4 linked regions of the Lytechinus pictus genome follow. The main gene of each other region encodes a partner of the protein of the gene in region 4 in a complex. Links are inferred from orthologs where the notes say so. Each region holds a gene or a part of one and is shown on either strand. Other genes may lie near its edges. The genes, in order: serine/arginine repetitive matrix protein 1-like; SNW domain-containing protein 1-like; RNA-binding motif protein, X-linked 2-like; 116 kDa U5 small nuclear ribonucleoprotein component-like.

Region 1 (7,841 bases), on a different chromosome or scaffold from region 4:
CCAGTAGATTTTTTACAAATCAAAACCAGGGAGATTGAATTATCATTGAATAAAAAGTTACAACTCGCAATGCACGCCAATCAATTAAATCATGAAGTTAAGTTGGAATCAACACCAACCAATGGAGATTGAAATTTTACAAGATATAAAGAAAAGGGGTCAATTTACCAGGAATTAGCAGAATGGGGGGGGGGTAGACTTTTTTGACTAGCAAAATACAACAATAAAAAATGGTAACCATTCTCGGAAACACTTGGAATTTTCTGACAATCATGCACAAAGTGATTGAATGGTTGCGGGCAGGACTGGGGTGGGAATATGCCCCCCCCTCCACCTTGCTCCCCAACCAGCGCCTCATTACAAACATTTAATAGTTTTTAAGAATCAACTGGAATCATACGAAAAAGGGAGATTCAAGCATTAACTTAAAATGGCAAACCATTAAAAAACTTACGATCGGACATATTCTCACTCTTTGACGCCCCCCCCATCTCATCTCGCCTTCAGGGGAATACATTAGAGTGAATCAAGTTGATCTGTAATTGATACACTCGGTAAAATGCATTGTACATCACATGCAAATCACATACACGTGCCAGATTCTCTCAGCCCAGACACCATGCTCAGACTTAAACATCAACAATGGAAATTTCCATGACTGGTCAAGAGCCACGTGTTGCATGTTATTCAGACTCACATGTACATTGACTCCACGAAAATGCACACACTCGTGATGCACACAAAATCCAGACACATTTCATCATAATTTTTCTGTCTGTCTCTCTCATCTTCTCTCAAATCCCGTGGGCTCTGCACGTAAGTATTGTCTCCGTCGCTCTCTCTCTCTCCCTTTCTCTCCAAGGAGCGTTGCTCCTGACTCTCTCATATCTCCGACGTGACATGCATTTGACCTAAACGCACCCGTACGGGTGCGTAAAGCGAACTTTTGATGTATATTCATGAGCCGTGGCGCGTGATAAACATGGCGCGCTGACGTCATAAGCAACATTCGCGGAGACTCCTCCGGAGATTCCTGAAAAAGACATGATCGCGTACCGTGGATGACCACATTTTGAGAGGCTTTTGGGCTCTAATCGGCGGAAAAAATGTCAATTTTCGTTCGCTTATAATTTTGCTGTGAAATGGATTTACCACATCAAATTTAGCAGTTGGTAAGAGTGAAATTTTCTCTTTCAATTGAATACAGTCATAACACGTAATTCAAACCCGATCCGAAGATATAAATTAGGTCCGGACACCCTATTATTATCATTATTCCGTTTTGGCCTGAAATGCACCAAAACGGGGAAAAAATAAACTTAAAAGGTAAAAAAACAGTGACTTACTTCGGCTGTTACGCAACTATCACTTCCCTGGCCTGGTTTATCTCACATGTATTGCGAGGTTAGTATAGTAAGTATTTGAACCGCGTTTGGCAGTGGATTTCTAACTAAAAGTTAGTGCCTTAGTGGGTCGCGCGTTCTGTGTGTCCACAACACACGACTTCTATGGCTTGATTTTTCTGTGCGCGGCGGCACGTAATGAACCCTTGAGTGGGTTTATCTGAATGGCCATTGAGTCCTTGTACAGATCAAGTTAGAACTTCGGTCTCTGTAATTGGTGAGTGGAGCCAACGGAGTTCAGCGGAACAACCATATAACAGAAACCGAAGCTTTTGGTCTATATTTCGGCTTGAATATGATGTCACCGTTCGAATTTTCAGTCAGACATCGCTTCATTGGAGTTGGATTCACCGATAATTTGATATGGACCGAGGTTAGCCACCAAATTCATGCAAACATGCGGCAAACAAACACAACGAGCTGCTGCAAAGCAGGCAGATCTACTTTAGTTTTGGTCGCTAATTTCAGTCCATATCACACTTCGGCGAAGCCAAGCATTGCCAAGGCCCAAGCGATGTCTGAATTATGAGAATTGGACAATGACCTCGCCTCATGATACAACTGAAATAAAGCTGCTCCCGATCGCGATATTTGGAAAAGCCGTGGGTATATTGACCTTGAAATGTGATTGAGAGTCTTGCTATGACATTTACAAACAATTACTGTTGGGGAAATTCTCTGGAAATAGGCTGGTGCGATACTGCATTCGCGCCATATTTGGTTTATATCTGTATATTGGTCGTATACAGTAATTACCTTACACTTTTCGTAATTTCTCTTTTTTTCAGTCATGTCAAAACTTCACATATGAAAAATAGTAATACGTTGTTTTTTTGGTTACGAAATACGATCCTATCTATCGGCTTCCAACCGCAAAAATTAAAAGATCACACTTGGATATGTGCTTTCTAACAAGTTGAAAAAAGTTAGAAATAAACAAAGTTATTGCTGCTGATCAGCATTTTGAAAATAATTTTTAGCCCTTTTTATCGTTACATACAACTAGATTTAGAGGATGTTAAAAGTGTGAAATTATTTTCTGGCGTGTAAATGCGGGCGTTCATTATTACAGTTGCTCACAATATGACATTTATATAGAAATATGTTGCTGTGAGTACGAATTTATAGATCAATATTTCTCCCTTGTTTTTTTGTGGAGCCTGACGTTCGAAAAACCAAATAACTGCAATATCCCCAGAACTATCTGCAAAAAGGGAAGAAATGCTATAGTATATCCTCCCTAAAAACTTTCTACTCACAGCAAATACATGTATAATGCTCGATGATGCTTACAAGTCCATTTACAAATGCTGTACACAGGGCTCCACACTAACCCATTTTTTCTACTGGTCCAACCTATTCATGTCGGACCAGTAGATACCCAGTTTTTCAATCTTTTACTGGTCCGAACCTAAAATCTACTGGTCCCCCAAAATAAAGAAAACATAAAAAAGTCCTTTCTTGTTACCCCCTCCCCCAAAAAATGAAGGAATGAAAGACAAAATGAAAGCAAGACAGAAAGAAAGAAAGAATAAAAGAAAGGAAGGAAGAAAAAAGAAAAGGTAAAGAAAGGATAGATGTGAAGGAAGGAAAAAAAAAAGAACTAAAGAAGGAAAGGAAGGAAGGAAGTTAAGAAAGAACAAAAGAAAAGAGAAATAAAGGAATGAAGGAAAGAAATGAAGCAAGCAATAAAGAAAGAAAGAACAAAAGACAGAAAGTAGTGAAGGAGAGAAAGAAGCTATAAAAAAAGGGTAATAGGAGAGATGGAAAGAAGGAAAAAAGAAAGAAAGAGAGGAAGGAAGGATGAAAGAAGGAAGAAAGGAATAAGGAAGAAATAACAAAAAGGTAAAATGATAGATAAAAAGAAAGAAATAAATACAGAAGGAAAGGAAGGAAGCAAGCAAGCAATATAAAAAAAGAAAAGGTAAAAGAATAGATGAAAGTAAGAAAAAAAGAAAGACTGAGAGACGAAGACAGGAAGGAATGAAAGAAAGGAGAGAAAGGAAGCAAGCAGTAAAAAAAAAAAAAGGTAAAAGGATAGATTGAACGAAGGGAAAAAGGAAAGAACAAAAGACAGAAAGAAGAAAGGAAGGACTTAATGAAAGAAAGAGAGAAAGGGCTGAAAGAAGGAAGAAATAAGAAACAAGAAAGGGTAAAGAAAGGATGGATGGAAGGAAGAAAGTAACAAAGAATGAAGGAAAGAAAGGGTAAAAAGAAGGAAGGAAAGAAAGGAAGGAAGAAGAGAAGAGATAAATATAGGATGGACGGACTCAAGAATTAAAGAAAGAAATCAAAAAGAAGAAAGAAAGAGAAAAAGAAATAGAGAAAAATATTTTTTTAAAGGATAGAAAGAATGAAAGAACGACTTAAAGAAAAAAAGGGAAATTAAAAAAGAAAGACAGAAAAAAAATGAAAGAGAGGGAAGAAACAAAGAAAGATTGAAAAGAAAGATGGAAAGAAAGAAAGACAACAGAGGAAGAAAGCTTAAACTATTATCATAAATAAATTATCAGTTTCGTTTTGGCTCAATTAAAATATAGCTACGAGAGAAAGTCAGAAACCAAGTGTATCAACACACACACAAATGCATGTGGGCTATCATGTATTCAGACGATATCACTCGAAACCCGATCTGTTTGAACTAAAACAGAAGTGAAAATTTCTCCTTTTACTGCTTACAAATGACAGAGTTACCCCAATTTTTAGGAAATATGGACATTATATAAATAAGAGCCTTTCATGAGTGTGAACTGTGAATTTTGACAGTCCTGTGAGAGATTTCTGCCAGAGGTTAGCCAAGCTTCGTATGTGCAGCCAGTAGAGAATTTACCATGTGGGTTGTGTGGCTGGCTACATGTACACTGTATGGTAACATATTAACACTTACATGCGATTCATTTTGTGTGTATTCTGTGTGTGAATGACAGAAATTAACGGGAGGAAAATGGTTTGCAATTTGAGTCATGGAATATTTTTTTATGTTAATGTTGGACCAGTGAATTTGACCATTTCTGGAAAAAGTTACTGGTCCAACAATGGTTTTTATTACTGGTCATGTCGGACTCATAAATCTTGCTATTTTGGAAAAATTACTGGCCCGGCAATGATATTTTTTTACTGGTCATGTCGGACCAGTACATCTTGCTATTTCTGAAAATCTACTGGCCCGACAGCGATATTTACCGGTCGGGGACCGTCGAACCGGCGCAAGTTGCGCCCTGCTGTACAGCACCATTAAAATTGTGTTCGGGATACTTCATGAGAAGTCAACGAGCGGCATATATGGTTTTTTTTCACTTTAACGCTTACATCCAAGGTATTATCAGTTCTTTGCTCCACATGGCTTCTGGTGGGGCTCGGTGTAGGTGAGCTCTAAATCAGTAAAAGTGCCGGTTGACATTGGTTATCAGTTTAACATTGAGAATCAGTTCATGATGTCTGGTACACAAGTAACCTTATTTTTCTCTACATTCTCCAATTTCTTACAGGGCACCAGTGCCGACCAAGACAATCGCTTCACAAATAAGAAAAAGAAGCTGTTGAGATCGCTCAAGTTCAACCCTATTATGGAGAGGAAGGTATGTTCTGAAGTATTATTCACCTACATGTATTAAGCTGGGGGGGTTATAAAGAGGCAAGATTTTATGCAACTGGGAAGAAGCCACCTCTTGGCTTGGTGTGTCTATGGGGTGTTGCAAGAAACCTGCGATCAATTGTAAGTCTATTTTTGACGCTACATCAATTACTTGGCTTGTAGTTAATTGCAAATTAGTGATTGATTGCTAATCTACTCCTTGAAACAAGTAGTTTAATCCGATTTGCTACAGCTAACGTTGATCTATCAGTTGTAAAATTGCAACAGAATATTTGCAATTGACCGCAAATATTTTCTTGCAACACCCCCATCCGCAAAGTATACAGTTATTGCTCTGTTCATCCTGCTGTCTCTATGAACCAGATTTGGGAATTCATTCCAACCAAGACTTGTAATCTTTAGAAATGTAAACTTATAAAATATCAAGTATCTAGTAGTAGTGACGGGAAAATGAAAAGACTGGTTGTTTGAGAGGTGTTTGCCAATCACTTGATCTCTGACTCCGACCATTTGCAATGGGCTGTCCCTATTCCCTTTATTTCATCAATTCTGTTGTTCAATTTTCTCTAGGTGAGCATGAGTAAGGTCAACTTGGATACACTAAAACCATGGATTACAACGAAAGTCACCGAGATGCTTGGAGTGGAAGATGATGTCCTCATTGAGTTCATCTTTAACCAATTGGAAGAAGAAGTAAGATGTCGCCTTTTCTTTGTCTAGATTGTATATAGTCAACTCTGTGTTAAGGTTAAATTGATTGATGTTTTAATCATTGTACTGGTCAATATTTTGTGGTCATTATTTCATAGGTCAAGTGTATAGTAGCCATGGTGAGAACTCATTAGGTTTTGTCATTGGTATAGGTCATCTTGTGCAGGTATTTATAGATTGCTTTCTATGCTTTTCGATAAGACACATTTTTATTTTAAGTTGAACTACATTTAAGTATGCTGTTCACAACAAAAGAGTAGTGATGTTTGTGGTATCTTTAATAATGTGCGACTGCATGGCCTAAGGTAGCTAATAATAGGTAAGCAAAAAAAGACGAGGCAGAGCAAATGGGATCTTATTCAGGTAGGAGGAATAATGCACATCCAGGTGGGTGTTTCACAAAGATTTAAGTATGACTTAAGTCGCACTTAAATGCCGACGCGTACATGATATGCAACGGGCGATCTTTTTGATAGATACACAGTAGTGCGCTTCCTAATGACACGATCTGACCAATGCGGTCAAGCCTTTCATACCGTACGCAACTGGGTGTTTAAGGGCGACTCTAAGTCATACTTAAATCTTTGTGAAACACCCCCAGGAAACATAACATAAAGCAAAGCGATTGGACGTGGAGCTGATTTAATTTACTGACTCACCAGACTCTAGACTCAATGCTATCAATTGTAGACAGCAGCCCTGTGATCAGTTGCTATAAAGCTTTATGTTACCGGGCCCAGCAAAGGAACCTACTTCTTGCGTGAAGTGTCCAGTGGAATCCTCTCCGACCCCCTCCTCCAACATAGTGATGGTTAATTATTGTTAGACAGGACAAGCTTTTAAAACTGATGCTGATTACAGGTAAGTATTCAGTTTTGAATTCAAGAACCTTTTGAGGAGATTATATATAGAAGTCTTGATTGGTAGGTAAAGGCTTTTGAGTTCTTGAGCAGTTGAGCTACATGTACACAGATTTACTATGTATGTAGCACTTTTGGCAAGACCCGATTGTCATGCAATGTTTTGCACTGATAACGGGAAATATTAGTGCTTCTTATTGAGTATCTTTGTTTTAATCCTACTCAAGTATGATTTTAGATCATTTTGCCAACCAAAATGATGAATTAGTTTAATGCTGGCCCACAAAATTTACTCTATGAAAAAAAAGACGAAGTCAATTAGCCCGTTGGCAGTTAAATGAGCCGTCACATGAACTTTTCCCTTTTACATGCAGTTTGTAGTGGTAGGTAATGATGAGATGCCACTGGAGAAATATTCAACAAAAGGTAATCTGAAGAAAAAAAATAGTTTGTCTTGTATTAGTATGTAGTATGTTATTTTTCTATGATTTTGTGCTATTATAACACACTGACCATTAAAAATCAGAATTAAGAATGTTGCTAGATGAATCTTATAATGTACCTATTATGTACAAAGAGATTCATTTACTTCATGGACCAGGCGATTGAGACAAGTAAGTAATACATAACTTTAATGTTTTCATCAATTTTTGAGTTCTTACCATGCTACTATACTTAATACGTTATGAGCTGATCAGATTATCTATGTGACGACAATAAAATTTAAGAAATTTGGAAATTGTGACCCCCCACCGAATAAAAGAAAGAAAAATAATTGTTTTGAAGAAAATATAATATTCTGATTCATGATTAATTGTGTGTGATTTGCTCATAACTCAATGGAAGTTTCCCCCCTTTTATATGTTTTCACATTTAAATTTTATTGACATTTTGATGATTTTATTTCAGGATTTAGTTTCATTCCCTCAGACTGCAAGAGACGGTAGAGTACATTAATAGTATGTCCAATATCAGCAAAACAGTATGGCCATCTGTAATGAAATAAAATCATTTATGAATATAGAGCTTTACACAGAATTTGGTCTTAGCATTTCGTCACAGAATGGCTATAGTCTTCTTGTATTTTCTTGCCAAAACAAGGAGTATTTACATAACAGGTCAATTCAGTTGGGGTTAAAATGTGTTTGAAATTAAATTAAATAAATATTTCCGTAACATCTGCTCACATTTTGAAATGGATTCATGATAATTAACAATTTAATGAAGCACCCAAGCTTCCTTCTTCCTTTATAACAAAACACTTTTCAACAA
Region 2 (7,358 bases), on a different chromosome or scaffold from region 4:
AGTTAATTCATTCATTCATTTATACTGATTCATTCAAGCCATGGTAACAGTTGGAATTTTTATCTCGGAAGCTAGATCCTCCATGTTAAAGTCATGGATGTAAAGTTGCAATATTGCCATCTATATCAACATGTGAATGAAAGTTGCCACATGCACATGTAGGTGACAGAGGGCTTGTGTTAAACCAATGATATGATGCCACTGCCTTGGATGTCCAGTCCACCTTAACTGTCTCGTTTTCCTCAAATTTCCCCTTTACAGACAGTGGTTGTAAGATGTTTTATAAAAAATGACCTTGTCCTCAGGACAACTTTATACTGCAAGGGCTGTAGGCAGTGATGCAATGAAAATGATAGTTCTGTGGTACAAAATGAAATCTGTATATCACTTGATTAATTACGATGGCAATTTTCCACATTTCTAAAACAGAGGTATGTCACAACAAAAAATATATTTTCTACGCCACTTTAAGTTTCCCACTTGAAGTATCCCTCACTTTCAATATTTATCTGTAATTTTTTTTACAGTACATTCATTGAAATCAGAATGAATGACTAACTACATGTACCTTCTCAACTTTGCTGCATATTTGTTTGTTTGGGTCTCTTTTTTTTTAGGGGGAGGGTATATATATATTAATGTACTTACAGCCAATGACCGAGGCACCCATCCTTTCCGATGACCATACGGTGGAGCTGCATTCCTTGATACAGAAACCACACGTAACTGAAAAAGAAAGAGGAACATTATAGTGCAAATTTATTAATTTAATACAACATCCTATTATTAAACTTAAGAGAATGGGTTCATAAAAGTCACATTCCAGCATTATATTTAATGATATCATGAGTAAGTCTGTCAAACAGCGTAAATCATCATATCTTAACTTTTTTCAATTTTCACTATTTGTCTGTCTCTTAGCGGTTGCAAGCAACACATTCAAAAACAGGTCACTATGTTATTGCAACATTCTTTTTTTAACTCCTACCCCATTGACATCGTACAAAGGGTTGCTGAGCTTTGTCACAAAATGTTTATGAACAGGCCTTATTAGTACTATTGTAATTATTTAAAATGAAATACGTGTAGGAATGTTCATTTGCTTACCTCTTTGGCTCTCAGGTCTACCTCATCTTCTTGCCCCCATTGCTTGGGTTTAGGTAGGATGCTGTGGAAAAAGTATAATTTTTTTAGTCAATTGCTAGTATTTGATAGAAAAGAACAAGGAAAGATGAAGCAGGAGAAGCTTGCAGCAACATTTGTTAAAATCCCAGAAATGTGTCTGACTTGTCAACGCAACCCTAACAATTGTCACATCACATGGTATAGTGAGTGATTGTATTACCGACCGGCCTTGTTTTACCCAACGCGCATCATACGCGTGAGAAAATGATTTTGTACGCTCAAACTTTGCAACATTCTTCCAAAGGGAACTTGAATATAGAGATGATGAAAAATGGTCAACAAGTGGAGCGCCTCTGGCAGTCTCACCTGCATTACGCAATTCAATATAGCAGCAGTGCTGACTCTAAAAACTACTATGAAATTGGCAAACATGCTTCAAAATGGCTGAATTTGTGAACAACTCTCCATTTGTTTGTACACAAATTTTCAGATTTTCCTCATTATCTTTCAAATTGCAGCTTGCTTCCTTCTGAGCACGACATATGTCTTGGGAAAATAAAATTCACACCACATATGTCAAGGTCAGGAGATGTGAAAAATGTAAAATAAAGGGGAAAATCTGAAAATTTGTGTACAAAACAAATGGAGAGTTGTCCACAAATTCAGACATTTTGAAGCACATTTGCCAATTTGAGGATCCCTATAGAAAGTACAAGACTTTTTAAATGTCCATAACTTGCTTATTTCATAACCGATTTTGATGAAACTTTTTTTTGTAATTGTTCATCTCATTTTACCTAAATTTCCAATAAGATTGCTTCTCTTCTTGGGTTTTGGTTACCTAGCAACTATTAATATTCAGGCCAGAATTTTTTACCTCCATACATAGCTCAAAATTTTCTGCTTGCGCTCTGCACTCGCATTTGGTAATTTTATTCCTATTTTTAAAGAGGGCGTTAACAAAAAATGCTAAATTCCTTGATTTTGGCCACCCGGACCAATTATTAGGCTCGCTGTATTGCCCGATTTTGTTTAAAATCAAATTTGAAAATTCTAGGAAATATCTATGAATTTCAGGAAATTTGGGATTCAGTTTCGGGAATTTTATTTTGGAGCTTAGGAAACACTGGTCCGACTCCTACCTGTAGATTTCCCACAGGCACAGGCAGGATGGTTGCAGCGTGCAAGTGGATAGACTAGTTAATGCCCACACAAGACACAAGTCCACAATCAAAAAGTGTATTCCGGCAGACGAATCCCTGTCTGCTATCACACACATTGCCATCACCACACTCAGTCACTGTTAGATTCCACTCACTAAGTCTCACACAAATATTGAGCTCTACCCTGGGTTTTACATGTAACTCTTGTGCAATGAGCATTACTGTGTCACAGAATTGTGATATCGCCACTGGAAATGTGTGCATAAGAAATTACACACGCCAGTAACGGCACCGGCCCCCTGTGTATTCACAATCACCGTTCACACTCGCCACTCTTACTTAGTCTCACGTCCGTCTAGCAATTGATTTTACTGTAAAAAATACCAATAACCCAATCATGAAATAAATTTTGTAAATAATCTACTCACTCAGCAAGTGACACCATAGTAAATTTGACGAAAGTCTTGGATACAATGCAGAAATCTCTGGGCAAACTATCGGCTGTCGTCGAATCTCCTCAGAAAGCTCGCTACGCCATAGGCTTTTAATGCATGTCTTCTAACGCTAGAGGGAGACGTGCCAATTTCCGATCACAACAGCCGTGGCCGAGTGGTCTAGGCGCCAGGCTATACATGGAAAGTCCGGGGTTCGATCCCCGGCCGCGGCGCCTATGCCCGTGAGCAAGGCATTTAATCTACAATGCTCTTTTATCCTGCTTTCAAATAAAAATGGAAATGCTATATGCATTATTGGTAACTAGGTGTGCACTTGTTTAAAAAAATATATATATATTCCGATCACATATACCGGTACATATTAAAAAAAAAAAAAAAAAAAAAATAGGCGTTAATTCATACTTGCCAGTTGCCACCAGTGGCGTAACTACGGGGGGGGGGGCATGGGGGGCACGTACCCCCCCCCCCCCCCCACAATCGGCTGGCCAAAAAAAAAACGGGGAAAGGAGAAAAAGAGGGAGAAAGGGAGAGAAAAGTAGTGGGGAAAGAAGGAATTATTGTTAATTATAAAGTTATATTATATTATAATTATGTTATATTATATTACATTTAAAAAATCATAACTTTATGAAACATAATTTGCGCAGGGCCTATGTCTTCATTGTTCTTGGTGCTCGCATTGTCTGTTGAACAAGATATATAATCCTGTTGTACTAAAACCTCCCGTTTTCAAATCAATATACAACAAATATATTTCCTCGCACGTCGAATTCTTGTTTTAAGTAGTGACATATTATGCTTCTTTTTCATGGCTACTTAAAGTGATTGCCCCCATTTTAAGGTCTTAATCTAAACCATTTCCTGTCCGTGCTTACGTTAGCATTCGTGGATTGGTGAGATATGTCTGTTTTTCATGAATTCCTAAAATCAGTCCTTAAAATGTCCTTTTTTCTGATCTGAATATCAAAAATTTTCAGCCTGCGTTTCGCGCTCGCATCATTTGGTTAGTGAAATACGCATGGTCTCCGTGAATTCCTACAAGCAGGCCTTAGAATGCCCCTTTTCAGATCTGAATTTCCTTAATTTTCAGCTCGCGCATCGCGCTCGCAATATTTGATTAGTGAGATGCGTATGATAATCATGATTACAATGACTATAAAAAGTGCTTCATGTGTTTAGATGTAATTCTAACAAAATCAGCATGCGCTTGGCACTTGAATTAGATGACTATGGTGAGATATGTGTACTCTTAATGGATTCCTTTAAAAAAATAGTCCTTAATATAATTATATCCCTGTTTGGGGTCAATATATTTTCAGCTCGCGCTTCGCGCTTGCATCATTTGGTTAGTGAAATACGTACGTATTTCCTCGTGAATTCCTACAAACAAGCCTTAAAATGCCTCTCTTCAGGTCTGAATTTCCCAAATTTTCAGCTCGCGCTCGCAATATTTGATTAGTAAGATGCGTATGTTAATCATGACAATGACTACAAGTGCTTCATGTGTTAAGATGTATATTATTCTAACAAAATCAGCAAGCGCTTGGCACTCGCATTAGATGATGGTGAGATACATATATATACTCTTAATGGATTCCTAAATTATAGTCCTTAAAATGTCCCTGTTTGGGGTCAATATATACACACATTGTGTGCGGGAATGACTGATTAAATCCGATGACCGGGGTAATAATATATCTGTAAAGCGCTTAGACATGCCGTTCCGATGTATTAAGCAGATCATTATTTTCTTGTTTTTTTTCCTCTTGGAGATCGAGCAGTCGGGATTTGGCTCATACGAAATCAATGACACCCAAATTTCTCCTTCTTGGTTTTCTCTTTCTGACCCCTTTCCCCCGATTCATTCTCCCACTCTCTTTCTCTCTCTCCCTCTCCCTCTCTCTCTCTCTCCCTCCCTCTCTCATTCACCTTTATATTTTGAAGTTGTACCTTCAAATGTTATCCATATGAATCATGTACCAAATATTTTTTTGCATCCACACCAATAAACAATCATATCGCAATTCTATTTTTTATTCATTTTTCTTTTAACATTAGCCCCCCCACTGCACCCCCCCGCCAAAAAAAAGGTGAAAGGGACTGCTAGTATGCCCACTAGAATGGTGTTCAAGAGTTTCTGTTATTTTCGATGTGACCAAAAAAAAGAAAGGTGAAACAACAAATTAAGAGGAGTGATAAAGAAAATATTTAATCCCATAAGTACGGTGCTGAATCGCATATGAAAAGATTGAATGGGGCAAGCAATGTTAAGGGATAGCTTATACCCCTTTATTTTTCCTTTTGATACGAAAATAAAGTTACCTTTGGAAAACCCCAACTCCAGTGTAACTCATATACTATACCACTGGACAGTTCTTTCACACCACAATACAAGATCACTGAAGAAAAAAAAATGTTTTGGTTTTCTCGTCCAAAGTTTTGTTCATCTGTCATTTTACAGTAATTAATCATGTTTTAATTATAATGTTGATATTTCAAAAGGGCGGCTCAGATTTATTTGATGATTTGTTTTGAAAATCGCTTTCCAAATATATAGGCCTATATGAATTTTGAATGATTGTTATTCTAACGAAAATATGAGTACTCTTGTATTATTTTGCACATTATGATTATGTTGAAAAATCCCATACATAGGGTCTCTCGGTATGCTCTTTTATTTACTTCCTATGTAGACATGTAATAGGTTTATCATACTCTGTTCAGGGCATTTTCCTAATGCTGGGGAAAACAGAATATATTACCAATGTAAAGTTTTTGTGAATCTTTTTTACTTCAGGTGTGCCAATTGTAAAAAACCCCAAAACAAAACGATAAACACGTGTTACTGAAACTGTGAAAGGGGGACCTGGGTCATGAAATTCTACTGACGCAGATATGGGGGGGGGGGGGGGGGGGCTTGGGTCATGGCTCCCAAAAGTTCCACCACCAAGAAAAAAAAAGGAAAGGAAAAGGGGTAAGATACGATGTTGTTTTCTGAATATTATGTAAAAATCTATTACAAAATTAGATTTTCATTCCAAAAAGGTAATTTTTCTGCTTCAGTTGCTCTACTTTCTCACTCAGGACTTATAAGAAATATTTTTCACACACATGTCGTACCCATATCCCCCCTCTCATTATGTCACTGTGATCTTGTCGTATTCGTGAAATTATGGATCCCTTGACGCATATAAATAAAATTTATCTCTTCAGTGTATCATTGTCCCTGATAGTATGATGGTTGTTAATAGTATACCTGTCAATAAAATATGTTCAGATGACGATTTGGAGAACTATCGTCCTATGACTTACTGACAGTGGCGTACCTGGCATATTTCGTCAGGGGGGGGGGGGGACAAGCGACAAAAATAAGCAAGGCGGGGGGTAGTAGGCATGGACGTATAGGCACAGTTTTCAAGGGGGGCTGATAATCATTGCCCAAATATCAAATTCACAGTTTTTAATTTTCGAGCGAGCGAAGCGAGCGAACATTTTTTCCCAATTATTATTTAGCCTTTGTACATGATATGGAACTTGCAGAAATTATAAATTCGGTCATCAAATTACCAATACACGAGGATTTTTGGGCACCTCGTAGTCCTCGGTTGCCCTGCATTTTGCAACCCCCCCCCCCCTCCATACACGTTTGGATGTGTAGGTCTGGAAGTGGCACTGAATGTGGGAAAGGTTACCCAGGGGATGCCCAATAAAACAGTTGGGATCTTGCTACTACTGATATTTGCTATCGGGCGATTGCACTTTATTGTCGAAATTATTATTATTTCTGTATATCATTCCAGAAATGAAATGTATTGGATCGTGATCGATATATTTCTAATCAAGTGGTAATTGCAATGTTTATATCAAAATACTTCCTTTATTACTCTTTGAAGGTGTTTACATTATGTTCCCAATTCTGCTCATTTGGAGACGTTATAAAAGAGGTATTTGACATTGAAATCAGTTGTATTCATGTATTGATTTGCATTTGTTTTATTTCCATATACACAATTAAAACAAAAATAAACGCATCCATCCACTCATGAAAAAATAAATATGAACGTGAAAATATATGCGACAGTAACATGATATATCACTAGATATGGGGAAAATCACTCACTCACTGGCAGGAATGTCAGAAGGTTGAGGGAATTGAAATTGGAAAAGATAGATAGGCGGACGAAGGGATCAGGTACATAGGATAGATAGGGGGACAGTAATAACCAGAGGAATGTGTAAGCAGGGGTATAGCTAGGCCTTTACCCGACAGATATCAGTACCGATTACTGACGTCCGACGAACAGTACTCATCTATATCCAACCCAGGGGCAGATCCAGGATTTTCAAGGGGGACATTTTGTTTACAAAAATTTGACAAGCCCCACCTCCAAAAAGTCTTCACTTTTAATTACACTTGCCTAACAATTTACACTAAAATTATATAAAAAATAATAATTGCGAGCGCAAAGCGCGAGCTGAAATTTTCTAAAAATTTAGACCTAAAACGATACATTTTTATGCACTTAACTATGAATAGGATGGGTATCTTCCTTAATAAATTATGCGAGCGCGAAGCGCGAGCTAAAAATTTTGATATTCCTAACTGGACACTAGA
Region 3 (7,839 bases), on a different chromosome or scaffold from region 4:
TTTATTATTATATTTTCAATCATTGTTTCATAAAAATATATAAATGTAAAATCTATATTACAGTCAGTCTGCAAGCCCCTGCCTTAATGAGCAAGATATATCCAAGTCCTCTCGTGGCTGAATTCATGTCCCTGCAAAATCTCGTGAATTGTGAAACTTTGTTTCTCAAAGAATTTAACCACTTTCTCCTTGAGTAAAATTGGTTATTTTTGTACCATATGAAAGAGTAAACGTTACTCTTTTATACTGAGCATTTCTTTTGAATAAAATATTTTGATAAATGAGTGAATTTTAGGCATGAAAAGATGCCTCAAAAGGAATTTTCTTCCTCTTTTTTCTCTTGCAAATTGTGCAAAATTTTGTGTTTTAGGCACAAATATTATTTATATCATCAGAAAGCTCAAACTCTATACTTTCTTACAATGTCACTATTGATATATGGCACCTTTTAGATGGGTCAGCAGCCAGCTTTTTCCACCGAAATGCAAGACGAGATTTCTGAAATTTCTGAGTAGCATAAAATCTAGAGTTCTGATTGGTTGAATGGGAACATTGGAATTTGCGTGGGTGTGTGGTCTCTATGACCAAACAAAGCATGGTATTCTTGATTTTAAACTGCTAAATGTACTTGGCCTATTAAAAGCTGGCTGCTGACCCATCTAAGATACCTCTTCTTATGAAAATTATATCATATTAAAGCTTAGATCTTGAGCTTTATCATAATCTAAAAATTATTTGGGCCCAACGAGAAATTAAGTGTTAAAACAACAAGTTTTTTTGCATTAAAATAATTATTTTGTTTCATGTTTTAGAACAAAAGTTTCACCTATGTTATAAAATCTTTTTAAAAATCCAGACACATGACATGAAAGAATGATATTTCTTTATAAAGATACCAAAAACATGAAATTTGGTCAATATTTAGAGCAGCAATGCCCGAATAAAAAGAGGTGTTTTCGTCCGCACCAAGCTCATTAACAATGCAAAAACCCTCTAGTCATGAATATCACTTGGATAAAAGAAGCTACTTTTTGAGGGCTTGCCGACTGACTGATTACATTTTCTATCATGATATGTCACCACTGAACAATAAAGTGTAATCTGAAATGTTTGTGTTGGGAAGTAACTAGCGCAAATATGAAATGTTTTTGTCAAGTTATTACTTTTAATTTGTCTAAAATATGAAGATTTTTTTGGGGAAAATGACACCTAAATATTTTTTTCAGCTCCTGGTGACAAATCAATGTGATGAAGGGGCATATATGACATACTCATGAATTTGATATCAAATTCGTCATGATAGCAAAAATATTTGATAAGATACAGTAAATTTTATGACGTTTGACAAATGTCAGCTTTTCTTTAAATTTCCTTGGTGTATGTAAACTTCTGGCCTTAACTGTAGGTACCATTGTATAATTATGAACCTTTTGCAGTGAGAATCACTGACAGGCAGTTTAGAGTATTTATATCATGAGCAGTTTGTCTCTTTCTCATGTAATCTAATACCACATTGAGCTAAACCCTTTCGCACGTATTCTGAAGTCGGGTTTAATTTAAACTCTGGTTTTTAGTTGTGGTTTAACTATGGAAAGCCAGTTGTTATATAAATCTACAACAAGTAGAGGTTCAATGTATCAGCTCATTTGACTCCCAAAACATTAACTGCCTGGGAAAGATAAGTATGACAGTCGTCTTCACCAATAAAGAATTAGTTAAGAGCACAGTAAACATGAGAAGCATTCACTCTAAAAACAAAATTTTGAAACGTTTGGCTTCCCATAGTTTTAGCACAGAGTTAGACCATGGTCTTTGTTAAACCCGACTTCAGAATACGGGCCTTTGGGTCATATTCTGATAGCCATGGTTTAAACTTGGGTTAACTAAGACCACATTTTCAGCTATTAAAGTATTTTCGTTTATAACAAAGGACAAGAGTTATTCTTTCAAATTTTGATGTTTTTAGGTACATTTTGTGTCATCAATTACATGATTAACAATTGTATCCCTGGGTGACGGTCAAATGTAATTTCAGATCAATCGACTCTGATAAAAAAAAAGTTATGTTCGTCATCTTAAAAGTGTTTCATCTAACTAAATGAAACGTGAAATGTGTGAAATGGTTATTGGATATCACAAATGATATTAAATCAATGTGTTTACCAGTGAAGGTCAAATGTCATTTGAGGTCATTGAACTTTGGGGTTTATTATCAATTTATATACTTTCTTACAAGACATTTGAGAGGTTGCAACACTAGGTCACCAGACATGGTCATATGACATTTTCTCTAACTTGTATGCATTCCTTTTACTTTGCTGATCAACACATTCTTTGTCATGTTGAAATAAAGAACCTTCAAAATCACCTGCAGTCAAAATTTTTATCTGTTTAATCTCTTTGAGGCAAGTAATCATTTATGTCCTTTTGTGTTCATTGAAATGTCCCTTTGCCTTGGTGTATCAAGAATATGAAGTTACATCAATTTATGTAGTATGATTTTCTTTTTTACCATATGGCCTTGAATAATATTTTGTTATTTATGACACTTATTAAACTGATAATTCTGAAGAAAAATATTGATGTGCTGTTTCTTTTATGTTTTATTGTTATGTTGAACATTTAATAGTCTATATACATGAATAGCCTTTCTGTGAAAGATGTGAACAAACAAATGAATCATTGTGCCACTCTTTATTTGAAAAAAAAAATCAAGCCATTTCCTTTCACTTCATTTCAGTTTATCTTTATTTATGAAAGACTACAAAATATTGCATACATAAATATAGGCAACCTAAACCCAAGAAAGAATCTAGCTTATTTGAAAGAATAGAGTAAGAGAAACCAAAAAATAATTTAAAAATCGCTTATAAAATAAGAGAGTTATGGAAGCTTAAAGAGTCTTGCAAACACTATTCATAAGCTTGCTTACATTTGCAAAATATATCTGATATCTCCTGACCATGACATATGGTAGGAATTGTATTTTCCCATATTATGTTGCGCTCAAAATAAAGCAAGATGTGGTTTGTAAGGTAATTTTGAAAATTTGTGTAAAAAGCGAAATTAGTCATTATTTAGCATGTTGCCAATATGAGGACACCCATTGAATTTACATCAAGACTTTACACACTTACATAACTCTTATTTTGTAACTTTGATAAAACAAAGCTTTTTTTATTGCTCTCATATTACTCTTCAAATGTTTCCTTTGGTTTTGGTTTTCTGTAAACAAATTTAGACACGTTGGACCCCTTCAGCTCTACCTGGGGAAAGGGAAATAAGGTTCCAAATAATTAACCTGTTGCCAATTTGCTTTGTTTTTTCTTCATTTTTTTTCCAGTTGCCATTTGAGGGTCATCTGAGGGGGGGGGGGGTACTTCCATTGAAGAGGACGATAGCAACAGCAATAAAAACTTAACAAACCACACACAGAGAAAGTTGTGATTTTGGGGGGGATAAGCACTGTCATAATCCAAATCAGGAAAAGGGTGTGCAATTTCGTGAATGTTATGATTTTGAAACATTAATAAATACCCCAGCCTTCATATCTTTCCTCCTTTATCCTCACCATCATAAATGACAAATAGTAGGTAAAATCACCTTTCAACTCTACAAAATAATGGTTTTATACACTGCAAAAATTCCGGTGTTGATTTAACACCAGCCAGGAATCTAAATATGTCCACATCAGAGAAATATTTAGATAACACCGGTTTGGAATCAAGCCGATGCTCTTTTAATACTAATTGGTGTTGTAAACACATATCTGGTGTTAGACCAAAACTTAACTGGTGTTGTTTAACACTTCTCTGGTGTTGACATATATTGATTCCGGGCTGGTGTTAAATCAACACCAGAGTTTTTGCAGTGTAGCAGGCCCTACAAATTTTAGCCAAAACAAATTGCCTGCTCCCAGAAACAGACACCAAAATCAGAAAAAGGACCACCAAATAAAATAGTTGTGGACAAAATATGTGATTGGGGGGTGGCGGTCATTTAGGATTTTAATTGGCCCGGCACACTTTTTGGGGGACCCGAGACCAAAAAATATTGTCATTTCATATTGAGATACATTAAAAGGAATTTAAAGAACTGTTCCCTTATCAAAATAACAAAAAAAAAATATATATATATTTGACCCATGACCATGTACAGCCCACTCCTACTAATATTTAAGACGGGCATAATTTGATTTAGCATCCTCAACAACAACACAATACATATTTAATTCTCGAGAGAGAATATAGATATTTTGATAGTAGTGAGAATAAGAAAAGGTATTGGTGAAAAAAAATATCAAAAGAGAGTGTGGGAGAGAGGAGTATAAAATGGCGGTATGATGGACCTGACATTTTTGTTTGAAAAAAAAAGTTACTATTATTTCTATTTCTAATGTCAATCTGCAAATCTATAATCAACTGAAATCGCTTGTGCTAGAAAGATTGAAAAGTGCCAACAATAACTGAGGAAAATAATCAGCATTTTCTTCATTTCAAAATATGCTTACATCATTTCACTTAGAATAAAACATAAAAAATGTTTATATTGTTAATCATATCACTGAAACTAGCTAACAAAGAAGAAAAAAATACACTTTATTCACAGCAGTTGCAGTATAAACTAGACTCGATTGTTATGTCTTCCGGAACGAAGTTTAGTTTGCCGAAAATTAATCAGAATCGAGATGATGATTGATTGCATTTGAGCACGTCGGGCATATATAGGCCGAGGATCGAACCCGAGACTTGCCATGAACAATAGACCACTCTGTCGTCCACGGCACCCCTATGCATCTTGAGAGCACCGTCAATACAGGCCCGTGTTGTTGCCCTCTACGTTGGTTGGTCTTATGCATGCAGGGCTGCCTCTTTATGCTATGTCTGTTTGTTAATTTATGTACCGGTACGTGCGGAAATCCCCGCGGAGATCATGAAGTAAGTTGATGAAATCTTGAATTTAGGGTATGAACAGTGTAAATGATGATATCAGCAATATTAACACTCAATCTGTTGTCTCTTTTTCAGCTGCGTTATAATTCTCACTCGACTAGTAATAAACTAATATATGTTGTCCCACTCGCTCAATTTTATGTCATGTCTTTGACTTTGTAGGGTCGGGATCACTCTTTTATTGCGAGGTTAATAGTATAACCTCGCACCATGAACCGCGTTTGGCAGTGTATTTCTAACTAGTGGGTCACGCGTGCTGGGATCCCACTTCTGGTGTCCACAACACCCGACTTCTATGGCTTGATATTTCTGTGCGCGGCGGCATGTACAGTGCAGTGGCAGTGGTAACCCACGACCTAGTACCAATTGAATGAGGTCCAAACATCATGAACTAAGCTTGTAACCGATTTTGCAATCGGCAACCGATTCCATTCGATTTCACCACAATCGGCGATCACTTGCCGATTTTCGATCATGCCCATCAAAGAAAAAAATCGAATGTAAAAAATCGAATTGTTGAAAATTGGCGGAGCCGCGGAGCTCAGTTGCATTTTGCCCTTACGCATCGCCAGCTGCTGTCTGTGCGTACTATGCCGCTCTAGCTCTAGCAGCACGTCGCACTAGCACTGCCGTGACCGGTAGCAAAGACACTACAGCTTGAGTTAGTTGAGGGTACACGTTCGCCCGCTCTATTGAGCTCTAGCAGCAGACATAAGCGCAAGCCACGGATGAATAAAAATAATGGCGGCACGCGACTTGGTACATAATCAACCAAGGAGCTGAAGCTCTTTTGATCGAACAGATCTAGTCATAATCTCCTTGATCCTTACCAAAATATATTCCTCGATCGCGATCATTTCATTTCTCGGGTTCTTTTCACATTTTCCCCCATGACCATATCCCCGGCCAGCCTTTCACTCCTTTTCATGTATGCATCGTTTCGGTGGCCGTGGTGGGGGATCGGGGGGGGGGGGGGTAGACTTGTGAAGCTTTGCCTAGCGTGATAATGAGATTGTCTTTTTATGTTCATATTTTTTGTGTCTTTTTATTATGAATTCCTCATAATATTTTGATTTACTGATATTGTACATGAAATAATAAAATCATGTTCAACTTACAGGTATCTAGAATAGGCCTATAGGACCTTTTATGCATGTATGTTTGCGTTTTTTTTACAATTCTGTTTATAGATATTTCTTGAAGATTTTTTTTCTGTATTTCTCCCCTTGTGAATATAAATTGTCAAAAAAGATGTCCATATATTGACTCTTTAGTGTTAAAATGTTAAAAGGTTAATTTATAAATGTAGAACCAATAACCAATATGTTAATAATTTCATACAATATAGGCATATGATATACATGTACATTGTTTTCACAATTCATGTTATATGATGATGAAGAAATGAAGTATAATTTAAAAAAAAACGAATACTTCTGAAGTCTGAATCCCTTTTCAGACTTCAGGTGAACGTAGATGAAAAAAAAAACCTTTTCCATTTTGTTTATTCTTCTTAGGTTCTTAGAGGGTGGAAGAAATTCAAATATGACACTTTCTATTTTCCATTGGACAGAACCTCGGCCTATATTTTTTTTCTCTTTATTGTATAATGATGTATCTGGTAAAATCTGAACCCTCTGGCTGATCTTTGTTTGTGGAAAATAGGAAAAGAACGTTGGAAAATGAGAAGCATATATTATAATCGTATTCTTCATATTTGTAATTCTATATTGCATATTTCCTTTTATCTTTATTTCCATTCAGTGATTTTGATTTTTGTTTGTTTTGCTTCGTTGACAAATATATAGAAAGTGAAGGTTTTCACAGAATGCCCTCCTATCGAAATGATTTTTACCCCAATAATCTTGCAGCTGTTACTTTGGTCATATACTCATGATTTCTTTAATAATAAATAAAAAAAGTGAACATCAAAATTTATGTCTCGTGCTAGTATTTCTCACTCGTCCCTTTCATTTGTTTTATTCTCTCTTTCATTTTATGCTCTGATCGCTTGTTTCTATCATTGAATGGTTTGTTAAAAACAGCAACATGTTTGATGTATTTTTTTTAATTAAGGGCGTAAAGCACTGAAGAATGGAGAGAAAAACCTGTTTAATAAGGGTCTTTATCAAGTCCTTTCTTTGGGTTTTCACAAAATGAACTCCAAACGGACTGATTAGAAAAAAAATCTTCCCTCTCTTCAAGAAATAACCAAATCAAAAGCTATAATAATTTTATGATATGGACATTGCCATTGGACTGGTTTGGTGCCGTTGATGGACCAAGAAAGGCGGCAGATGTTTTCCGTCCAGCTTGTTTCCCCTTCTCTCCTGTTCAATCGACCGAGAGACGGAAGTGTGATGACATTGCATCCCAGCAAAAGGGAACCCGTTTTTCAGAACCTAGATTCACAATCATCAAATAAATTTTGATCGAACTATATTTGACAACGAAATGAGAGTAAATCCTTATTTTGAAAACTTTCAGCAAATTATGCTTGCATGGCAGAATTCAAGAAGTATTATGTAATTCTAAATCTCCTCTCATTTGGAAATAAAGAGCCCAAATAAAGTGTTACTATAGTAACTACTAACGAACCAAGAGTATTTTACAATCATAATAGGCATCGCTATCTCGTTTGCCTATAATACAAATTCCCTATTATTCTTGAGAGTAAAATAAAATTACATCACTCTTTAGGTCGTCCCATGTTGTCTTGTCCCTGTAAAAAATACTCCGCGATAGCAAAAAACAACCAGTCGTCTCTACTGGAAAACTCTGACAACGCGATTTCTTTTTTCTGAGACGCACTGTAAGCATATATGTACGTGGTATGTGTGTGTGTGGTTTAGGATGTTTTCGTTTCAGCCTACCAGCTGATAAGACA
Region 4 (7,863 bases):
ACATTCATACATGTATGAAAGTCATATTCTTTATGACATGTAAATATGTTCATTACTATTTATGGTCGTAATTTTCTTGATTTAAGTTGAATTTTGTGTTGATCATGTTGTTATATTCTTAATAAATACTTAATTACCGGGTATAAAAAAAGTTTCCCTTCCCTTGCACTTGCTCGCGATCGCCCAGCCCTCTATCTCTCGTCTGTCGTCTCTGCAGGCATGTGGGGTAGAAAAATATGTGGAGGAAAATATTTTGCTGCAACAATTGAGGCCCAAGGTAGCGGAGGCGGAGCGACCAAGCAGGGGATGGGTGTGGCCCTGCGTGACGCTTTTTGAATTTCGTATGACAAATGGTGCAATTTGAAGCATACTTTTGATGACATTTCTACATACTTTTTGAGTTGGTAAACTGTACAAAAAAATAATAGGGGCCTACAGTTCTGTAGTTATTGAGCCTAACATTAGATCTAGATGAAATAGGCCTAGCTAGATCTACTTACTTACAAGGTCTGAAAGTAAGGCTGTAACCAATTTTTTAATCTGCTCCCGATTTTATCAGATTTTACCACAATCGGCGATCACCTTCCGATCTTCGATCATGCCCCTTGAAGGAAAAAATCGTATATAAAAAATCGGCGTAGATCTAGTTTTAATACAGTGCGTGATCGTTCAGAACATATTTTTCAAGATTTTTTTTGAGGTGCTAGCTATTTAGAGGTCGCATTAATCAGGGAGAAAGACGTGGTATTATCTGACGATGTTTACGAGGATAGATATCTTCTCTTCAACCTCGTGGTGATAGCGGACGCCGCCGTGAACTTTTAAAGGTCGCATTATTGACGGAGATCACTGCTCTACTCTCTTGAATCGTTTATGATAGACATCTTCTCTTCAACCTTGTGGTGATAGCGGACGCCGCCGTGAACTTTTAAAGGTTGTATTATTGACGGACATCACTGCGCTACTCTCTTACATCGTTATCTTCTCTTCAACCTCAATTTATTTGTCTTTGCAACTTCGTCGGGAGATGCTTCTTTTCTATTTCTTCTTGGATATCAAAAGTTCATTTCTCAAGATAGTAATAAATTGATTTGAAAACGCTAGCTCCTCACAACATTTTAATAACATGTTCCGAATCATCGCGTGTGCTTGCGACTTCTACTACGTTTTAATTTCACTTGCGACTTTAAGATACAATGCGTCGTATGAGATCAAGAGATCATTCCAATAATTCTACATCGCTAGCACCTAAAAATACTTATAAAAGATGTCCCGCCGATCGTTCATTAACCTGTGATCTATGAATAATTATTTTCATTTTATTTTCCTTTGCGACTTTGCTCGGAAGATGTGTCATTCGTTTATCTTTCTAATAAAAATCACTCGGTTTATTTCAAAGCAGTAACACCTCAAAACCCTTTTTAAACATGTTCCAAACGATCGCGCATGTTGGCGACTTCCATTTCAATGCATTCGTCTTTGTGACTTTGTCAGGAAGATGCGCGCTAATACTACTAATACGTTGGCTTTACGTACGGGCCAACAATTCATCAGTCTATGTATTGGTGAGTGGAGCCAACGCAGTTCAGCAGAACAACCAAAATACAGAGACTGAAGCGTTTGGTATAACGTTAGACTTAGGCTGGACCAAAAGATTCGGTCTCTGTTATATTGCATGTTCCACTGAATTCTGTTGGCTCCACTCACCAATTACAGAGACCAAAGTTCTAAACTCGATCTGTACGGGGACTCAAAAGGCCATATGTTTATGTATTATTTAAGTTCGGATAAACCAGGGAAGTGGGAGTTGCGCGACAGCCGAAGTAAGTCACTGTTTTTTCCCCTTTTAGGTTTATTTTTTCCCGTTTTGGTGCATTACAGGCCAAAATGGAATAATAATCTTTATTTTGGTCCAGTTCTTTTTATATTATATATTTAAATGAAATAAAGACAAACATCGATGAGCCCCGTCAGGGAGATTTCGCATTGTATACCCCCTAATGGCGGCTGCACGATCGCGAGCTGTCTGTGTACGAGGAGAAATAACAAAAAATAAAAAAATGTTAAAAAACTCCTCGAAACAGAAGGCTGCCAGTGCCAGCTGTCTAACTCTAAGTTAGACTTAGGCAAAATGAGCGGCCCGTCAGCAAACACTAGCGGGCTAGGGTCCCGGTACTACTACGGCGCTGTCCCATTGCACATCATCGACATCACGACACATGCGATGAAAACCAGCTCATACCTTTTTTTGCTAGACTCGAGTCTAGAGTGACTAGACTATTTCAACAGTCGTTTTTACAAATATCGCCTCAAAAAGGCTCAATTACGTACATTTCTACAGAAAATTACGCATATATTTTAATGTCTGTTTTGCAAGGCTAACAATAAAACGGAAGAAATAGGAGGGAAAAAAAGAGGAAAAATAGAAAACGCGGAAAAGAGCAAAGAAGCGCGGAAATGAATTTTAAAAAAAACGCGGAAACCTCACACATGCCTGGCCTGGGAGAGTCTCTGCATGAATGACTTACACAATATGAAATTTATGGGACTACACTTTACTTTGTGGACCAGAAAAAGGTCGAATATTATTCCCATACATTCGAGTATTTGAATCAAAATATCAAAAATAAACGAGACATTCTACAATAAATAAGCATGACATTATAAGATGCTAAGATCACTTACCTTATTACTATATTTAACGGTTTTAATCCAGACAAGAATCTGCCGCTTTTCGTTGACGAAACGCCACCATACATGCGGCGAAGATAATAGTCTAAAACATAAGCGCGTGCATGATCGATCAACAACGAATTGTTAAAGTGGATTCCATTTCAAGCCACGACCAATATCTTATTTTGTTTTCGTAGATATGCAAAGTCCAGTATTTAAAACTTCTTTGCCTCAAAACAATTGTACTTCTTATATTTTGTATTTGAATTCAAGTCAACCTGATAAAACGTTATTACCGCGACATTGCTACTATCAAAGTCTCAATTTTTAGACTACCAATGAGCGTTATCGAACGTCATCAAACAATACCTAGACTCCCCTGGCCACCCCCCCCCCTTCCAAGTTCGATGTCTAGCTATGAAAGTGTAATCTTTAAAGGACAAGTCCACCCCAACAAAAAGTTGATTTGAATAAAAAGAGAAAAATCCAACAAGCATAACACTGAAAATTTCATCAAAATCGGATGTAAAATAAGAAAGTTATGACATTTTAAAGTTTCGCTTAATTTCACAAAATAGTTATATGCACATTCTGGCTAGTATGCAAATGAGGGAACTGCAGGTGACATCACTCACTCACTATTTCTTTTATATTTTTATGAAATATGAAATATTCTAATTTTCTCCTCATTGTCAAGTGATACAATGATTAATTCCTCCCTGAACATGTGGAATTAGCATTGTTTAATACTATATGGTTCAGTCAAGTTGGTCCTTATTGTCAAATCTATAAAAAATGAAATATTGTATAATTCAAACAATAAAAAACAAAATAAATAGTGAGAGATGGACATCATCGACTGACTCACCTAGTTGTGCATATCACTGTTTTGTGAAAAATAAGCGAAACTTTAATATGTCATAACTTTCTTATTTTACATCCGATCTTGATGAAATTTTCAGCAATATGCCAGTTTCATTTTTCTCTATTTATTCAAGTCAGCATTTTCCTGGGGTGGACTTGACCTTTAATTTCATCAACCCCCTTGGCCATCCTTCTTTCCTCTTATGTTCTACCCGCCCTAAATTTGGGGAGCGGCGATGGTGCGCTTTGTGCCCCCCCCCCCCCCCATAATTCTGTCGGCTTCATGTCTTCATTTTTAGAGGATATAGCTCTTCAGTAACTTCTAATCTTAGTTTTTAAAAATTGCTGTGATCATATTGTGATATTTGTAAAGTTGAAATTTGTTCACGGTCAGCCATTGTTTTGCTTCGTTTAAATATTCAGTCAAAGATAGAAACCAAAGTAGGCCTAGAAAACATTAGCTCTCGACCGGCAAAGAATATCAGGGGAGGCCCCAGCATTCGGCGGGGGGGGGGGGGTTATAATTAACAGTGGTATGATGTATGTAGGCCTAGCGTTACGCCTCCTTTGATAATCCCAATTTGTAATTTTGTATTTCCCCTTAATTTATCCTTTTATTTTCCTAATTTTATTCTCAACATTCTGAATAGAGTAAGGCTGCAGGTGCGCGCCAGGGGGGGGGGGCGGTCCCCCCTCCAAAACGTCCCCAAAAAGAAGAAGAAAAAAAAGGGGGAAAAAAGAGGAGAAAAGGAAAGGCGAAGGGAGGAAATGGAAGAAATGTAGCTTTGTGGGTTTTTCTTTTTCTTTTTTTTTCTCAAAAGAATTAGGACCTTAACGAAACCCCTTCACTCTCGCTCTAAGTTTATAATGATTAATTTTGCATACGCGCTTCGCGCGGTTAAATTACAATATTGCAGTTCTCCTTTGTTTCCATCACCCTTTCTCTAACCCTGTTTTTCCACCTCGGCTATAGGACTAGTGTGTTCCTATAGTTAAAGTTCAAGTATGCATTAGGGCATGGCATTAGAGTAAGGTTAGGCCGAATTATATGAAGTTATCTTCTTCTTTCACGCAACATTTCCGCACTGGGGGGGGGGGGGGGGGCTCCGGGCGTGTAAAATCTTTATATCAAATTCTGCCGTCACCTCCATATAGGCCACTTCTCCCGCTTTTCAGCTAGTTACTAAACATTCATAATTTGGGGGCAAACAGGTTTCTAATTTAATAAGAGGATGGTATAAAATTCGTGTCGTATTGAATAAAAAAAGAACAAGGTTTTTATCAAATTTGATGAAACTTCATGTCATTTCCCTGCGCATTCATCTCCTGTCTTGTTTTGCGCCCTCCATGGGCGGAAATCCCAGGGGGGACAGGGGGGACGTGTCCCCCCTACTCAAAATAGTAGGGGGGACACAATATCAAATGTCCCCCTACTATTTTTGGTCTTTTATGATGGCAAGAAATACATCATTCTTAATCGAAATAAAACATTATTTTGGGACGAGTTGGGTCGAGATGACCTTACTTTTGGGATGATAACCTTTTTTTTGCTTGTCAAATTTTCCAGCCCCTTGTCCCCATAGGCGGATCCAGGGGCCCGGACCCCCCCCCCCTGAATTTTCAGAAAACCTCGGAAATCGAACTTTCATTATTTTGTGTGATTTACAAATTGATTTTTAAAAAGTTCTCTGTAAATTTTTTTAGTTTTATGGTCTGAATATTTTGCTGCTTGCGCTCCGCGCTCACAAATTTTGATTTATCAGGTACCTATTATTTTCGTGTATTCCAAATTTTTTCAAAATATCCCTTTTCAGGTCTGATTGTCAAGACGTATCAGCTAGCGTTTCATACTGCCATTTTGATTGGCGAATTATGTATGTTTCAATATTGATTATACAACTAACTACTTAAATTCCCCTTTTCATGACAGTTTATCAAAAATTTTAGCTCGCGATTTGCGCTCGCATTAATGGTTAAAAATATATTAACTGATGCATCCTATTCATATTTACAAAAGTGAAATGTCCAGTTTTTATGCCATAATATCATCAGATTTCGCGCCCTCATTAGGCATTAATAAATATATTAATTTAATAATTAAATTGTCCCTTTTGTTTCATCTCGCGCTTAGGAAGATAGTCATCATTTTCATATGATGACATGTCATAAGGATGTCCCGGGGAGCGTTTCATGAAAGGACTTGTCGGACGTTTTATCCGACAAGTCCTGTTTTATCCGACAGTAACTATAGTAACAGTGCTTCTCAACCAATCAGAATCCAGGAAAGTTGTCAGATCTGACAACTTGTCGGACGAAAATATTGATGAAACGCCCCCCAGGTCCTATGTAAAAACTCAAAGTAATAATAATGAAAATATCAGCTCTTTTTTAAGTGCGATCCATATCCACCTTACAATTTTCCTACAAAGTGCTTAAAGGAGAATGAAACTCTTGGAGCAAGTTAGCTTTTGTGAAAGCAGAAAAATAAAAAAATAAGGTCAACAAAAGTTTGAGTAAAATAGGACTAGCAATAAAAGAGTTATGAGCATTTGAATGTCGAGATCACTAATGCTATGGAGATCCTCCCATTGGCAATGCGACCAAGATCTGTGATGTCACACACGTACAACTCTCCCATTTGGACACTGAAAATATACCCCAAAATATTTATTTTTGCTCATTCTAATCATATGACAAACGATTCATCAATGATATAATGTTGTGAAACCTCTGTACTTGTCATCTCATAAAGAGAACACCTCACCTTGTGATAGACTCTATAAAAGTGAGAATATAAGTGAAATAAGTACTAAAGTAATGAGGGAGTTGTACGTGTGTGATATCACAGATCTTGGTCGCATTGCCGATGGGAGGATCTACATGGCACTAGTGATCTCAATATTCAAATGCTCATAACTTTCTTATTATTCATTCAATCTTCCTCAAACTTTGAACAATGTGTTCCTTTGATTTTTCTCTTTGATATGGATTCAGCTGGTTTCAAGGGTTTCATTCTCCTTTAAAATAAAGCTGAAATTTACTTTTTTTTCAGATCGGAATATCAACGTTTCATGATTTTCATGATTAAAGATGTATTTAGAATGCCTAGATTCTAGGTCTAAACATGCTAAATATGAAACACGCGCGCGCATGTTTATATATAAATCATTATCCAGTTTCAGATCACAATATCAACAATTTTCTGCTCGCGCTTTGTTCTCGCATTATTAATGTAGGAAGACCCCCTGTTACTCATCCTTTTCATGATTTACAAAACATGAACAGAGTGGCCCATTTTAGGTCTAAATCTCGATTTTTTTTCTCGCGCTTCGCGCTCGCATCAATTGTTAGATTATATAGCTATCTTGTTCACGACTAACAAAATTGATTAAAATTTTCCATTATTTCTTTAGAAATTTCAAAAATTTTAAGCTCGCGCTCCGCGCTCGCATTTTTTGATTGTTGAAATATGTAACGCCTTCATGGCTAAGTGCAAGCTGTCCTTAACAGGTACCTTTTCAACAGGTACCAGTTCAAAACGTATATAAAAATTTTCTGCTCGCGCTTTGCGCTCGCATTATTAATACTAATCCTTTTCATGATTTACAAAACATGAATAGAGTATCTCGTTCAGTAAATATTATAGGACTAAATCTCGAAATTTTCCGCTCGCGCTTTGCGCTCGCATCAATTGTCTTCTTATATACCTATTCTGCTTGAGTTACAAACAGTGCTTAGAATTTCCATTCTTTAGGTGATGTGTCAAAAAAATGTCAGGTCGCGCTTCGCGCTCGCATTATTAGATTGTTAAATGCTAAATGCAAGCAGTCTTTAACAGGTATCTTTTCCATCAGTTCATTTCTGCTCGCGCTTTGCGTTCGTAGTAATTATTTAGTTGCATACACATCTTTTTCAGGATAATAAACATTGCCCAGAAAATTAAAATTTTAGGAAAAAATACATAAGATTTCCACAAAAAAATTAGCTCGCGCTTCGCGCTCGCATCATATAAATAAGGATTGCGATATTATATATTAATTTATAAGAATAAAGCTAAGAAGTCACTAGTGAGGACTACCCCTTCAAAGAAACAAACAAAAATCATCTTCGAGCTGCCGATCGGGGAAAATATGGCTGAAACAACTTTCCGCCCCCTCCCCCCTATTGGCGAAGGCTGGATCCACAACTGCGTCCCCCCTACCTTTTGGGAGAGATTTCCGCCCCTGGCGCCCTCAGTTTGAAATTTTGAATGACACTTAAGTTTTTTAATCATTCAAATTCGAAGCGCTTCAGGATGAGTCACGAGCCTACGCATCATCCTTTTCT

What was found.
Region 1: 116 kDa U5 small nuclear ribonucleoprotein component-like (region 4) and serine/arginine repetitive matrix protein 1-like share a complex: the UniProt entries of both Homo sapiens proteins name them as parts of the minor spliceosome. The link is inferred for Lytechinus pictus from reciprocal best matches to the Homo sapiens genes EFTUD2 and SRRM1.
Region 2: 116 kDa U5 small nuclear ribonucleoprotein component-like (region 4) and SNW domain-containing protein 1-like share a complex: the UniProt entries of both Homo sapiens proteins name them as parts of the minor spliceosome. The link is inferred for Lytechinus pictus from reciprocal best matches to the Homo sapiens genes EFTUD2 and SNW1.
Region 3: 116 kDa U5 small nuclear ribonucleoprotein component-like (region 4) and RNA-binding motif protein, X-linked 2-like share a complex: the UniProt entries of both Homo sapiens proteins name them as parts of the minor spliceosome. The link is inferred for Lytechinus pictus from reciprocal best matches to the Homo sapiens genes EFTUD2 and RBMX2.

What each region holds. Positions count from the first base shown.
Region 1 is NC_087248.1:16,740,557-16,748,397, reverse strand, and holds the start of serine/arginine repetitive matrix protein 1-like, read left to right. Parts: upstream 1-4,822; 5' UTR 4,823-4,834; coding exon 4,835-4,981; intron 4,982-5,568; coding exon 5,569-5,691; intron 5,692-7,478; exon of another isoform or gene 7,479-7,528; intron 7,529-7,841. UniProt on the Homo sapiens protein: Part of pre- and post-splicing multiprotein mRNP complexes. As a component of the minor spliceosome, involved in the splicing of U12-type introns in pre-mRNAs. Involved in numerous pre-mRNA processing events.
Region 2 is NC_087251.1:28,641,457-28,648,814, reverse strand, and holds the start of SNW domain-containing protein 1-like, read right to left. Parts: upstream 3,001-7,358; 5' UTR 2,734-3,000; coding exon 2,717-2,733; intron 1,169-2,716; coding exon 1,108-1,168; intron 727-1,107; coding exon 649-726; intron 1-648. UniProt on the Homo sapiens protein: Involved in pre-mRNA splicing as component of the spliceosome. As a component of the minor spliceosome, involved in the splicing of U12-type introns in pre-mRNAs.
Region 3 is NC_087260.1:9,504,961-9,512,799, forward strand, and holds the start of RNA-binding motif protein, X-linked 2-like, read left to right. Parts: upstream 1-4,821; 5' UTR 4,822-4,932; coding exon 4,933-4,937; intron 4,938-7,839. UniProt on the Homo sapiens protein: Involved in pre-mRNA splicing as component of the activated spliceosome. As a component of the minor spliceosome, involved in the splicing of U12-type introns in pre-mRNAs.
Region 4 is NC_087257.1:27,317,447-27,325,309, forward strand, and holds the start of 116 kDa U5 small nuclear ribonucleoprotein component-like, read right to left. Parts: upstream 3,008-7,863; 5' UTR 2,686-3,007; intron 1-2,685. UniProt on the Homo sapiens protein: Required for pre-mRNA splicing as component of the spliceosome, including pre-catalytic, catalytic and post-catalytic spliceosomal complexes. Component of the U5 snRNP and the U4/U6-U5 tri-snRNP complex, a building block of the spliceosome.